Linked DNA regions of Schizosaccharomyces pombe. The protein of the gene in region 1 interacts with the protein of each later gene in a biochemical or structural test. Each region holds a gene or a part of one and is shown in the gene's direction. Other genes may lie near its edges.

Region 1 (7,172 bases):
TGGGTCCTGTATGGAGATAGGAGTGTGATTGAAGGTGTGTGAGTAAGGGGAGTACTGTGCAAGGCAATGGTAGCAGTAGTGTGTGGAAGTAAAGCATATTAAAGTGATTTATAAAGAATGCTCTATGGTTGAGGAAGTGGAACGTAAGATATTAAAGGAATAGGGATGTGAATGTAAAGAGTGGGTAGATGCATTTGGGATGAGGTTTAATATATGTTTATAAAGGAAAATGGCTAATGGATATGAAGTATTGGTGTAAGGAGTTCAAGATGTATGGGGAGAAAGAGGATGGTTGATGGAGTGGTTGAGCGAGGAAAGTGTTGAAGTATAGTGTGTATGGTAGGAATGAGTAATGAGATGTAGTGAAAGTATAATATTAGTGAGTATATTATGGTAGGGAGTGCGTAGCGTAGCGAAGCAAATATCTCGTTAGAGGGAAGGGGAAGGTAGAAGGGCGCACACAAAAAGGGAAAATTGGAGGGAGAATGAATGACACGAACAGCATAATTGGAAACATGGAAACGAACGAGAGAAAACAAAGGAGAAAGACTATACATTTATATTACAAAAAAATTATTGAAAATAAATAAAAACGAATAAAAAAAACAGCATATTTCGATAGAATCAGGGCAGTAAAATCCATGTATTACTTTATGTAAGGAGATTTTAGGAAGCATCACCCTCTAAAACAGTATGGCATTACAGTGCTTAGAACTACGTTATGTTAGCATAACAGATATAAATCGCAATACATCGTTAATAGAACACACAATAATTACTATAGAATAACTCAACGCAAATGGGGTACACAAAATATTACATTATAATCTTCAGTGAATGTAACTCTAAGAAGCATATTTAAATCAATTTCAAAATTCTTTATTAAATACCATAAATATTACCATTATTATCTTTTAACTTTATTCTTTCTAGGCTGGTACTTATAACCAGGGTACATTTTCTGATGTTGTGCTTTATAAAACTCAGACATCTTAAAATATCGCATACGTACTTCCTTTGATTCGTTTCTCCACATCTCTCCAACCAGCTTGGAAACTTGTGAATTATTGATGGAAGGGTTAGACTTTAATAATGTAGCATGTTTTTCCTTCCTGTATAATATAAAAGCATTAGGGGGTCTCGGAGTACGTTCAGTAGACGTAGTGTCTTTCCGTAAACTCTTCAAAATATAGCCGGGAACTTTACATTGATCCAATGTGAAGGATATTGGTTGAGGTCTTGGCAGTTGTGCAGAATTCCCATCCAACAGGTAGCTTTGTGAGTTAGGAATGAGTATAGGAGTAAAGCCATCAGGAACAAAGTAAGCAGCACCTTTGCCAGTTTCAATTGAATGAAGAGCATCCTTTGTAAGGTATCTTTTAAAACACCAGTCTGGATCTAAAAAGTCGTAGGAAATAGGGGAACCCGCTGATAATTCTTGGTGTGAGTCCATTGTAGTTGTGAGTGCAAGGTAGGTGTAGAGTGTGGAGGGTATTTAACTACTTACAGAACAAAGAAACCCAAAAACAAAGGAACAAAATACACTAAAACACAATAATTTAATCTAAAGCACAATACATACTAATAATGTCAGCAGAAGACCTTTTTACAATTCAAATCCTATGTGATCAAATTGAGTTAAAACTTGCATCCATTGTAATAAATTCTAACATCAAATTACAACTTAAACGTAAAAAAAAGACACAACAATTATAAACTACATATAAGCAGGGTTCAGTAAATTGGGAAGGCGTTTCTGGCTATTAGGTTGTATGGCTATTAAATTAAAGGTTGTATGCTATACAAATGCATATGCATATGCATACAGAAAAATACTACCTCTTCCAATATTTTTCCTTCAACTACTCTCTCTTCTTTTCCTACCCTTCTTCTCACTCTCTTTTCCTTTCACGGCTAACCCACTATTTTCTCTCCTTTCTCTTTCTTTGTTCCTACCCAAACAAAGAAATAGTTACCATAGCTACTACAACAAAGCAAGCACTCATCCCACTTAATGTGGGGTCCCCTAAAGAATTCCCGTCTAATGAGAATTAGGAACGTTTCATTGTCAAGTTCGTTATTAAGTTATTTAAGAAAATATAATACTGATTAAAAATATATCGGTATAACAAATACAAAAATTAAACAGTCGCAATAAAACATGTTGACAAACCTGTAGTCATAGAATAAACATAATGTTATTATATTAACAGTAGGCTCTAAGGATTTATTATTGTTTTTACATATTCGTTCATGACAAAAAAAGTATTACAAACAACTTGCAATAGAATAATCCTACTTATTTGTTCTTTTCATTCACCTAATCCTCTCCCCCATTTGGAAAGGGTATGGCATTTTACTCGAATAACGCAACCAACTTTCTGTCTCCTTATTTTGCTATCCCCCACTTAGAAAGGGTATGACACTTTTCCTTAAATAACACAATCAACTCTTTCTCCTTATACCCTTCTTCCCCTTACCGCCTTCCTACTCACCTCAGTCTTTACCCCCACGTATCTCTACCTCCCACTTGGAAAGGGTATGACACTTACCTCGAATACCACAGTCAACTCTTCCTTCCTTTTCAACCCTCCCTCACTATACTTCATCCCACTTAAAAAGGGTATGGCAGAAACGTTATACAACGCAATTTGTATTTTATTCTTTTCCTTTACCTTCCTATCTTAAACTCATTTTCATCCCCCACACTCAACCTCCCAATTCCAAACTTTTAGCTTCGTTACATCTCCGTAATTTGAACTACTCATACCTCCTTAATCCTCTTTATCTCTTCCTCTACCGTCCTCTCCTTACCCTTTCCTCGTTTACATCCTCTATACTCGCTATACTACTCAAACCAACCACCCACTACCAATTCCTTACAAACAAAGAATTCACCCTTCTTTCCTCTATCATTCTTTGCTTGCTCAAGTGATTTTATATATTTTCGCGTTTACCGCGCTTCTTTTGTTATTTTTACTCTTTCTATTCTCTCACTCTATTTACTTCTCTTGCTCCCGCCCATCACTCAACTCCTTCAATGCTGTCGGCTCCCTCCTCCTCTACCACTCCCGCTTCCCCACCAACATCGCCTCCAAATACCACTTCCTCTGATGATTTCGCAGTTCTCAAAGAACCAAAAGTCGAAGCGATCCTCAATTCGGAACTTGGTCTAGCAATCCTAAATGATCGCATTAAAGACTACCTCCTCACTTGCAAAGAACTCGCCGGATTCTTTAAAAAGCGTTCCATTCTCGAAGAAGAAAGTGGAAAAAATTTACAAAAACTTGCTAAATCCTACCTAGAGACGTTTCAATCCAAACACCACTCTCCCCAATCTTTTTCCGCCTCTGTCATTACGAGTATGGAAATTCATGAACAACTTGCCAATCACAGTTTAACCCTTCAAAAAACTCTTTCTGCATTTTCCGATCAAGTCATCGAATTTCACAAAAACGCAGAACGCAAACGAAAATCCATCAAGGAATATGCGAAAAAACAAGAAAACGCATATTTAGAAGCCGTTATGCAAATGGATAAATCCAAATCTCGCTTTAAGGGTGCCGAAACCGAGTACAACCGCGCTCTCGACAACAAAAACACTGGAGACTCCCAGAAGAAGGTTGGTTTTTTTAAACCAAAATCTAATGCTCAGCTCACCAAACTCGAAGATGAAGCTCGCCTTAAGGCCGAAAATGCAGAATCAGATATGCACAGTAAGATTGAAAACGCTCAAAACGTTCAAAAACAACTTTTGTGTATTCACCGACCAAACTACATAAAGCAATTCTTTTCCCTTCAACGCGAAATTGAAAGCTCACTCATTGCAAACTATCTACGGTACACAAAGCTCTGCGAGTCAAACACCCTGCTCAACGGTCTCACAATCCGTCCACAAAAGCCCACTCCTACCAACTGTGGTTTACAACATGCTTTGGATAATATAAATGCAAATACCGATTTTGTTCAATACGTCCTTCACGCCTCCATCAAGCATGAAGATAACAAAAATCCAACCGACGCTTCTAAAACAAAAATCATTCAACCTCCAAGCTCTTACGGAACTGGTTCCTCTGCCGGAAAAACCAATCCACCCGTCAACCCCACCATCAAGGTTACTGCTGCTATTCCCTCTCCCCTACAAAACACTAATCCTGCTCCATCCACTTTTCCCAACCCTTCTGTGGCTTCCCCTGCCTTCCCAAACTCATCTACTTCCAATCCCTCTACTGCTCCCGCTTCAGCCTCTCCTTTGGCTTCTACCCTAAAACCTAGTACCGCCAATGACACAAACGGTTCTTCTTCATCCTCTTCTTCCAATCCTCGTACCTCTTCTCCACTCGCTTCTAATGCAGAAAACAAGCCCCCTGTTGCCCAACAATCACCTCCCGTACTACTTCCTACTTTACCTCCCATCCAGACGACAACGATTCAAACGTCTCGAGAAGTCGCACCACCGCCTTCTAGCATCAACTCAAACCGTGCTGCATCTCCCTTCCGACCAACTTCTGTCTCCCCTCAACCTTCCTCTCCTACGAAATCGTTACTCTTTGGTGCTCGATTAGACGCAATCATTCTACGAGAACATTCCAACATTCCAAACATCGTAATGCAATGCACTTCCCAAGTCGAAAATTTTGGTCTCAACCTCCAGGGCATCTACCGTGTTCCCAGCTCTTCCGCCCGTGTCAACATGTTACGTTCTCAATTTGAGAATAATCCTCTCTTACAATTACATACACCTGAGGACTATGAAAACGACGTTCATGCAGTCGCTGATCTACTAAAAATCTTTTTCCGTGAACTACGTGAACCGTTAATTCCCGACAATCATCAAAGAGACTTTATCGACGCAGGTAACGTTGAAGACGAATCCAGAAGAAGAGATGCCGTCCATCGTGCGATCAACGATCTTCCCGATGCCAACTACTCTACCATTCGTCATTTAACCATACATCTTGCTAAAATTAAAGAAAACAGCGATGTAAACAAAATGTCGACAAACAATTTGGCCATTATTTGGGGACCTACTATCATTAAGCAAGCTACTATCCCAGAAATTAGCAGTTTCTCTAGAACTATCGAAATTCTTATCGACTATTGTTTCACAATTTTTGACTACGATTAAAAGATCATTTTCTGTATTATTTACTGCTTACCATCTTTTTTTTCTCTTTTTATATTTTTTTCCTTTGCGTCAATAAAGCACACTTGACACTATTCTCTCTTTCTTGGATTTTGTATGCTTCCACCTCTTTCCCCTTTTTATCCCTTTCCTTACCTTGTTTTTATCCTAAACTTTTGTTTGTCTACAAATTCATTCTTTTCTTTACTGTCAATTCCGTTCACAATTTTAATCCATAGTTTAGACAACCTTCATAACGTAATAATGGAAATTATCTACGATTTTATAAACCAAATGAATTCCTTTTATTTTTTTTTCTTCTATATAGACCTTCAAATACTCTATATTTTTGTAAACGATAGATTTATATTTTTTTTTACATTTTTCCTGTACTATTCGACGGTCCACGAACTGAACGTATCCCTAACACCAAAATTTTAAAACATGCAATTATGAGCTACACGACAACAGACGCTGATGCTTTGGATGATCAACTTGATTATCAGGTAGATTTAGTTTCAGAAATTTCAGTTTCGGATGAAGAATCTGCACAACCTACTACAATAACTGAAAATTTTACTGCTTCTCAAAACAACGATTCAGCGAAACGTGAAAAAAGAAAAAAACAACGCCAAAAACAAAAGGAAAGGAAAAGAGCTAAATTGTTAGAACTACAAGACACAAACGCTTCAATCATCCAGAGTCCAGACACGCTGTCCGATTTGTTAAATAATTACATAAAAAGCATTTATAGTGATCTTACCGATGTAGAATTGTCAGATAAAGTGATTAAAGGTATAATTGCTTATTATTCTTTTTTTTTTTACTTCACTTTACTAACTCACTATAAGCATCTTACATTGAAGATACGATCAGCTTCAGCAAACCTAAAACAGTAGACAATTATCCAGAATACATTCAACATCTTCCCGGTTTTACTAAAAAAGTTGTTCAAAACAGTAATCCTGAGATTCTTGTCCTATGCATATCTGCATTACGTGCCATCGACGTTTTGAAACCAACGAAATCATTACAAAACAAAAATTTCAAAGTTGCAAAGCTTTTCGGAAAACATATTCGATTAGAGGAACACATAAATTATTGTAAAGCAAACAAAATAGGTGTTGGTATAGGAACTACTCCTAGAATTGCCCAATTGACTAACGGTACGTATTGCCTTAAATCTTTTGGTTTATGATTTTCCTTAAAATACTAACATTTTTAGAATGTTTTACTTGCGAAAATTTAAAATACATTATACTAGATTACTCATTTCGTGACATAAAAAATAACAGCATTCTTACGAGTAAAGAATCACGAAAAGCAGTAATCGATTTCCTAACTAGCAAAACTATTCTCGAAAATATGGCTGAAAGGAAAACCAAAATATGTTTCTACTAACATTAACAAAAAGAGTTCTGGCTTTCGGGGGTTCTGTGATTGTTTTAATACACAAGTTTTGTCTTCGTAAATATATTACACATTTTAGTATCATTGACTTTACTAAATCATTAAAATAAGTGGTAAACACGTTGTAAAATTATTTTATCCATCAACCACTTACTTAACATCAAGTAAGTATCAAAAAAAGCATTTAATATGAAAAGCTAATCATACAACCACAATTAAAGCAATTCAAGTAGCTTCAATTACAAACATTGTACCTTTATACATATAATGATAAACCTTTCGTCGATAACGCACACTAAAGTTATTAACGTATTTCGGATTCGTAAACAAATCTAAAAGTAACAGTGTACTAAGCAGTATAACGGGCCACAAAGTGACCAAACTCATCTATTATCGGTATCTTCACATACTTCATTTCTTTACCATCACCCATAATAAACGACATTTACAGATCCTTTCTCCAATTATCATTTTTTTAATTAAAGCATCTAAGATTTCATCATTTTAAATTAAAAAAGTTTATTAACTTAATTGAAACCATACGCTAGAATGCTACTAAAAACATAAACACCAAGATCTGCTTTATTGAACTCTTCATGACTTTATTTTAATAATGTTTTTTGCATTTCTCATAACT
Region 2 (7,951 bases), on another chromosome or scaffold:
TTCAATGTTGTATTATTATCTTGTGCTTCGTATACATCACTGACAACAGCCCATATTTGATCCACCGACAATAACTTGCATCCATAAAATTGTAGTATTTTAAAAAAAGAGAGGATAGTACATTCGTCTCGTTTCAACAAGCTTGAAAAAGTTGTAGTTGCCAAGTCATCAAAATACGGGGGATGATTTAAAGCTATCTTTAACACCATAAGCAGGTCTGATGTGAAAATAACTGCCGTGTGTTTTGATGAGACAGTTATATTGTGAAACAAAAATTCAATGAAATCTTTCCTATTCGCAACGGTAGCATCCTTGTACTCTACGAATGCATCGTCATAGTTTGATTCATACGATGTTATTTCATAAAACTGCTCAATCAGCAAATTTACATCGGGTGAGTCATAACTAAAATTCAATTCAACTTGGAACAATTTTCCCATTTCATTCAGTAGGAGTTTTTGAGATTCTGTCTTTGGCACAACAGAACATATGAAGAAAAGAGTTTGGCATCTAGTACGAAATAAGATGAAATTTTATAAAGAAAAATTAACGCACAAGACTGAAAACTGAAGTGAACCAAGTTGTCGGCAATAAGCTTAGTCATTACTTGAAACATTGAATAGTGAAATGCAAAAAGCATAACCAGGTAATCCTCATATAACTTTGACATAGGTGTCGATGCTATTTTAACAAGACTCAGGGTAATGATAGCATAATTCTCTTCTTTTTTAAACATGAAAGAGAAATGGTCTTCTTTAAATCGTTTAACGTATTCATCGCAAATTGACCAATCCACAAAGTAATTTCCTTTGGAAAGGATATAATATATTTTGTTCTTCAATTGTTGAGACATGCGAAGAATAGGCAACTGAACAAGAATCTTGCGCTGATCGTCCATGAAAGAAGAATTAAGCATCGATTCCCTCAGGTAACCTAATGAAGCAAGTCTAGCAATATACTTTGAAAAGAAGAAGTATCCACATGCTGCGAGATGATCAAGTAATTGAGCTGCCGCAACACATTCATTGTACTCCAGAGGATGCAATTTTAAAACAAACGACAATGTCAGATCCACAATTAAATTTCTGTCAAAATTGGCGTTGTCAAAAATTGAGGATACGATGAAATTTCGATCACCTGAAAAAATAGAACGGCAATTGATACACCAATGTAGTAAAAGAGGCACACCTGTATAAACTGGTAAAAGTTTAAACAAATCTTTAGCCAGTGTTCTCCAACCCACTGGAAAGGAAAGACATGAAATAATTTGCAAGAAGCGAATACTACTTGTGACAGGTTTGTACATGTACATGGCTTTTGAGTTTCTTTCCTGCATTATAGATAAAAGCGTGCTATAATTTGGAAAATCCTTCCATAATAATATAATAGTAGGTTTCAATTTGTCCCATTCAGTAGGAAAAAAGAACGACTCAATATTTTTTTGAGCCAAGGTAAATAAAAAATGAGATACTTTTTTTGAAAGCAAGCTAAACTTCAAAAGATTAGCAGGCTGGTCCACAATTAACTGTTGATAACTTTGCAGAATTGTGATAACACATTTACGACAAATATGGGTGTACTGGATCAGGCTTGTAGAAAAAAACTGTAAAGCAAAAAAGTGAAGACTAAAGGATTTTAAAGAAGAATCCCCTGAAAAGGAAACAATTCTTAATAGAAAATGTTTAGGCGAAACCAACTCTTCAGCCAGCAATCGACCAAAAAGCTTCAATAGGTAAGTGTAATCATCAGCGAACGAGTAAATATCAGCGTTTAGAAAAGACGAAATGAACGAAATTAAGAATCCCGCTGCAACATCAGTCCAATTTTTAACCCATTCTGTTATATCAGTTGTCTGGACTTTTCGTAAAAATGAACGAGCCTCATTTACTCCAGCGCATCGAATGAACCATATCGCTCGAGTAAAAGGGACTCGAAACTTCACCAACATTCGTAATATATCTTCTCCCCATAGACCATGTGGTATAGTTTTAATAAGAGAAGACAAGGGCACCATGGGATCAGATAAACCCTGCAACCAGCGGTCACGTCTAGACTCAGAAAGTGTAACTCTTGGTGGAGGACGAAACGGAGCGAATGGCTCATCAATTACTGCATCATTTTGCCGACCGAGCAAAGTAGAAGAATATCGTTTTAAATTTTCTAGAGTGCTTGATTTTTCAAGATGTTGTTGTAACAAACCCTGAGCAGATGCTCTATCACTTCGCACAGGTGGTGAATACCTGTGGCCTTTGGAAATAGCATCTCCTGCCAAAAAAGGAGCTCCGTCGACTGTCTCATCACGAAAATTTTTATCTGGAGCAGAAACTTTGCTTTGAAGTAATGTTAAGTACTCATCGTGTGAACTGGTCGAAGAATCAATATAGCAAATAGCTAAGGGCACCGCGTCATTAAAGCCTGGAGGGTTTGCTGAATCTCGATTGCTCATAAAGGATCAGAAAACACCTTTTTTGGAGCAACATATAAATATTAGTCAGATATTAAAAAAAAAAATGATTAGAGCTGGTAACAGAATGTTGTGGAAGTCCTTAAGCCAAGTTGGATTAGCAAATTAGATCCTTCTTCAAGAAACGTTTTCCAATTAAAGTTATTAAGAATCTAAGAGTAATGAAAAATTAAACAAGTTGGTTTTGAAACACAATGATTAGGTAAATTGTATTAATTGGCCTGTTGAAGTTAGCAATCATAAATTTCCACTTTTGTAAATACTAATATGTTAAATTTGAAGATTGATGTATTTGTTCATCATTCCTATTAGCTGATTAGATATTAAAAGTACTTTGATTTCTTCAACAAACGCTTCTAGGATTACGCGTAAGCCACATCAAAAACAATGAATATCTGCTACATTCTGAAAAGGTGTTTGCTTACAATTTTTGTGCTTAAAACAATAAATAACCTACAAGCTTGTGCTTGTTAACGTATGGGGCTGGCGAAGTCAATGTTATGCAGTGACTATGTGGTAGTCAGCAATCTACTACTATCCCTTCACCTCCAACTTTACGCATGAACAATAGTACATCAATAACGGTTTTATAAGTAAACAAAAAGCGAATTTTAGTCCATGACTATATATTTGAAAACTTAATAGGTCAATGGAAGAAAATACGGCTCAAAAGCAAAGTAATGCCACAGGCTTGCAACGACACGTATCAGGAAGATGGATTTCCAATGTTCCAAGTTATGAAGGTAATGAATGGAGTAGTGAAGAATCTGAGAGTGAGGATAAGGAAAGTAATCTCACCAGTAGTGAGAATATCGGAAAGAATCCCGAAAGGGAATTAAATTCTGACGGAACCGATCGCATTATAGAAGAAGAGGAGGAAGAGGATGATATTGAAAACGAGGCAAGTAGCTTTAGCGAGCAAAGTGAGAACGAGAATTATGACTTTTCATACCCTGGCACTTTTGTTTACCGAAAAGCAGCATCTAGTAGCCATGAGACGCTTGCTACTAAGGTTGTCTCCGCTGATGAAAGTGCACGGTTATGGGCCGAAAAGAGGAGATTTCTTTTACAGAAATTAGGAAAAGATCCAAATTCTAAGCCGATTGATTACAAATCTTCCATGGCATCTTCTAGCACCCGTTCATCTCAATCATCACAAGTTTCAGCCATTCAACCTCAAAGTCAAGATGATAATAGGGTCTCGGATATTCGACAAATGGAAAATCGAAGAGAGTTAAATGTAAAGAGGAGATCTGTTTCAAGTCCAGCAGAGGATCTTGCTATCCGTCCTTTAAGTTTCTCTAGGTATAAAAAGGCTGAAGAAATACCCGAGTCTTTACCTCCTATCAAGGGTAGAGATAGTTTTTCAAGTGTCAGAGAGCTCAATGAATCAAACGTATTTGCTCGTGCTCCAAATAAGAACCGATTCTCATTTGCTTCAGTTGCAGAGACTGGTAGTGGCTCCAATTTTTCCAGGGCTACCTCTTCCAGAAGTTCAAAAACTCGTAGCGTCGTATATGAACCTAATCATAGGCATACCAGCTTCTTTGGGGACACGCTTAGTAACCTATCTTCCTCGTTGAACGATAAGAAATCTCCTAATGACGATCATGCAGTACTAGATAGCGAATTAATGGAGCAAACTTTGCCGGACTCTGCCGAGGCGGTAGAAATTGCTAATAATGTGAAAGAAGATATTGTTTCTACCGCTAACGATGATGCCAATGAATTGGATAATACGAGTGAAAAAGCTACTTTGGAAACTAGTTCAAAGCCTGTTACGGAACAAGCAATTGAGCAATCTGAGGTTGTTCAAGAAGTCGAGGAGGGAGATACGAACATGACTACTAATACAATTTTGAAACCAACTGACGAAATTATTAATAAGGGTTATGCGTATTCTATAACAAGCTCACACTCGAATCATTCAAATGAGAAGTTTGAACAAATACCTAGTCCTGATGAAAAGCTTTCTCGAACAGATATTGACACTCATGTCAAGCAATTACAAACTACTAAGTCAACTGATAGCTTGTCTATTCCATTTGTTGAGTCTCCGCAGCAAAACCCAGAGGAAGAACTTTCGGACTCACTATCTAACGATTTTGGAATCGATGCTGAAAAGGAGAAGGATGAAAACCTCTCAAAACCGGAGCATCATCCATCTATAACTTCTGTAAATTCACCATTTCTTTATTCTCCTAGTAAGCAGCCCTCAGGTGAGTTGGATGAAGAAAATCTTAAACTACGATTACAAGATTCAGATGTGGATGATGAGGTAGCCACAATTCGTTCACTTAAACAAAATAATGCTACCAATTCGGAGGTTGAGACAGTTACGAACGATCCTTCTTTCTCCCAACAACCGGGTACTCATAGTCGTATTTTGCGAAATTTTGATGCTATCAGCTCTATCGATTCAATACCTGATAGCTTTTCTGACAGCGCTGTCGATTTGCCTGTCGATTCGTCAAAATATACCCTTGTTGGAAAAACTCAAAGTAATTCCAATCTACTTCAGGACAATGCTGAGAAACATATTTCAAAATCGAACCTTGAAAAAGTTGATGTGAAAGGAGATACATCACCCAATTCTGTCGAGCAAGGGATTGAACCTCAAGCTGCTTCTGTTGTTGGATCTCCACGCTCTTCTTTGGTTTCTAACAACTCCCTAGAGGAAGGAGCACTATTGAAAAACTCAGAAAGCTTGGAAAGTATCTATGGTTATCTTTCGGAGGAGCCCGATCCAGCTCTTACCAAGTTGAATACCGAAGACCCTTTTTGGACTAAGGGGTCATCTGACGATGAACATACAATAGCCTCTGTAGAACAAGACGTATATCCATATAAAACTAGTCTTCCAACTATTGTTGAAGCGACTACTTCTCACACTGAGTCAAGTAACTCAAAGGCTCCCGCAATTGAAGAAACGACAACTACAAAGGTCGAAGTGGTAGCTGCTCACGATGCAGTTTCAATATCCAGTAATTCCAGTACACATAAGTCTCACTCTGAACCATTAAATAGAGATGAGTTAGAAGTTGCTGCCTTAAGCCGTGGATCCTTGCCAGAACCTCCAAAACCCAACAAGCAAATAGTCGTTCAGGAAGAGGATCAACGAGACACACTATCTCTAAAGACAAGCACGACAGGTTTATCTTCTCATTCTAAAAGTGCTGAAAATAATTCAACTCAGCAGTCGACCACTTCTCCTAGCATTAACTCCGGTGCTTCAGCGGATGCTGTTTCTTCTGGAATTTCCAAAAAGGCTGATAATAGTGAAACTAATTTAAATTACTTTGCTACCTTAGATGCGTTTGTCAAGAGTCCATTGATGTCGTTCGATGGATTGGGTGAATTAGGTTCTACCGATCAACGTTACAACTTTTTCAATCAAAAGATTCAAGAATATTCAGCATACGATTCGGGCCTTGATAATTGGATTCAGTTTTGCTTAGAAAAAGATGGTGAGGCTCCAAAGGAAGCTCCTCCTCCTCCTCGTTCTGAGCCAGTTTCAACTACAACCAAACTTGCCAAAAGAATTACGCAGCCTTCGTTGAGTCCTGCAAGGTCAACTGTTACTATAACTCACAACATTGCTACTGAAGCAAAAAAGAAGTCTAAATCTGCTGCTAATGATATTTTACATTTGTTTAAGAAGAAAGCAAAAAGTGAACAATCAAACGCCAAGTCGTCATCTAGCTCTATCAAAGAATCCAAAAAGATGAAAACTCTTTTCGGAAAAAAATTGGGATTCAAATCATAAATCTTTTGCATACACTTTTTACCTAACTTTTTTCTCTCTTTTGTAATTTTCTAATTTATGTATTGTTTACGAAGCATTGCATTTCAATCAATAAGATTTTATCTAAATATTGTTTCATTTTCGTATTGCGCATTTTTGTGAAACCATTTAGTTATTTTTATCAGACGATGAGTTAAAATATCAAGCATATTCTGGTTTTGCTGCCACTTGTCTAAACCAAAATAAGAAACTGGACGAAAAACTTTCGACAAATTCAGGCTAGTACACAAAACAAAACAATCGAAATTAAATATTCATCATTTTTTGGGATATTCTTTCGTTTTCTTGGTGTTTTAGGATTCTGAGTACGCTGCTTTCAAGCTAAGTTTCATTAAATGGATGTCGGCTGAAGAATACATTGAGGTATCATCTTCTCCTGATATATTCACGGACGTATGAAAAAAATATGATATTCTATAGCAAATGATTAGAAATATTACATTGAACTGAAGTAAATGTATATTAACTGAGCTTTAGGATGATGACATGATAACAATAGAGCCAGAGCTAAACAAAAACCCTAAAGATTGTAATAGTAAACGAAAAAGATCTGTTACTGAATGTTGTGAAATTAGGCTGATAACTTCTAAATGTGATTTTGAGTCTACTCAACAGCTTGTGCATCACAATTGTACGGGACATAAGGTTCATGAGCACAACTTAAACGCTGTGGATGAAGAAGATTTTGATACTGAAAATCTCCCTCTTCTTTTTTCTTCCTTTAGCGACAATGAATCAGATATCTTAGAACCCGATCTTAACACTCGGGTAGCTGAAGATAATGATGTCCTTTTATCTAGATACAGCAAAATTAAAAATAGTGCTTCATGCAGAAATACTTTCGAGCACTCTGCATATCACTCAAATAGGGAAGAAATATCTTCTAGTGGTTTTTATTACCATAGGAAGCCTCAATTGTTCGAAAAATCTTTAGAGAAGTTAGGAAATAAATCAATTGAAGCCAACAGGAGTCCTCTTATAAAAGAACTTTGTGAATCGGCTAATTCTACTGAAAACGTTTGTTTTTCTGTTTCCACCGTTGATGAAATTCAGCAAAGGCATCCAAGCGCCGGTCATTCAATAGACTCAACTTGTCAGTCAAACTCGTTTCTTGAAGGCGATAGTGCTACACATAAGAAAAAAAAAACGGACAATATTAAAGAGTTTACTTCATGTGAATTTAATGACCGTAGCAGAACCCTGTTAAACTATGCCGGTTACATGGACACTAACAAAAACGCTGATAATGAAGCTAAATCATTAAAAGAAAAGTTGGAGAATTTTCCGGTTGAAAAATTACGTGCTATAGCGGAAAGTTATGGCTTCAAATCATCAGATTCGAAAGCAACTCTCATTAAGATAGTAGAATCTTGTTTGGATGCAATCGATAGCCGATCTCAGTCTAAAAAATTAGGCAAAGAAACTCCCCATGATTATTTGATAACTTCTACTAAAACAGTATTGGAGTTTGATGATATAGTGACACAGACTCATAGAGCAATTTCGCAAGTTGTTAAGCAAGCCAAAGACAATAGTGTGTGGATTAAAATTCTTACGTATTCTGCTATTGATGTGGAAGAATTTCAACTTTGGCTGAAGCGGAAAAATTTAAATGTTTCGCTAGATCTTATAAAGTCTTGGTGCGATAAGTATGGAGTACTCATGAAAGGGAGTTGGCATTA

The links.
Region 2: the proteins of rga7 (region 1) and rng10 form a complex in vitro, tested with the Schizosaccharomyces pombe proteins (one study listed by BioGRID).

The regions. Positions count from the first base shown.
Region 1 is NC_003423.3:2,108,763-2,115,934, reverse strand, and holds rga7 (Rho-type GTPase-activating protein Rga7), read left to right. Parts: upstream 1-2,859; 5' UTR 2,860-3,040; coding exon 3,041-5,128; 3' UTR 5,129-5,450; downstream 5,451-7,172. Other genes in the region: mat1-Mc (M-specific transcription factor Mc), read right to left, coding at 908-1,453; mat1-Mi (M-specific transcription factor Mi), read left to right, coding at 1,588-1,716; cms1 (U3-containing 90S preribosome complex subunit), read left to right, coding at 5,578-5,920, 5,977-6,291, 6,351-6,526.
Region 2 is NC_003424.3:3,117,658-3,125,608, reverse strand, and holds rng10 (protein Rng10), read left to right. Parts: upstream 1-3,000; 5' UTR 3,001-3,113; coding exon 3,114-6,230; 3' UTR 6,231-6,390; downstream 6,391-7,951. Other genes in the region: structure-specific endonuclease subunit Slx4, read left to right, coding at 6,609-6,662, 6,747-7,951.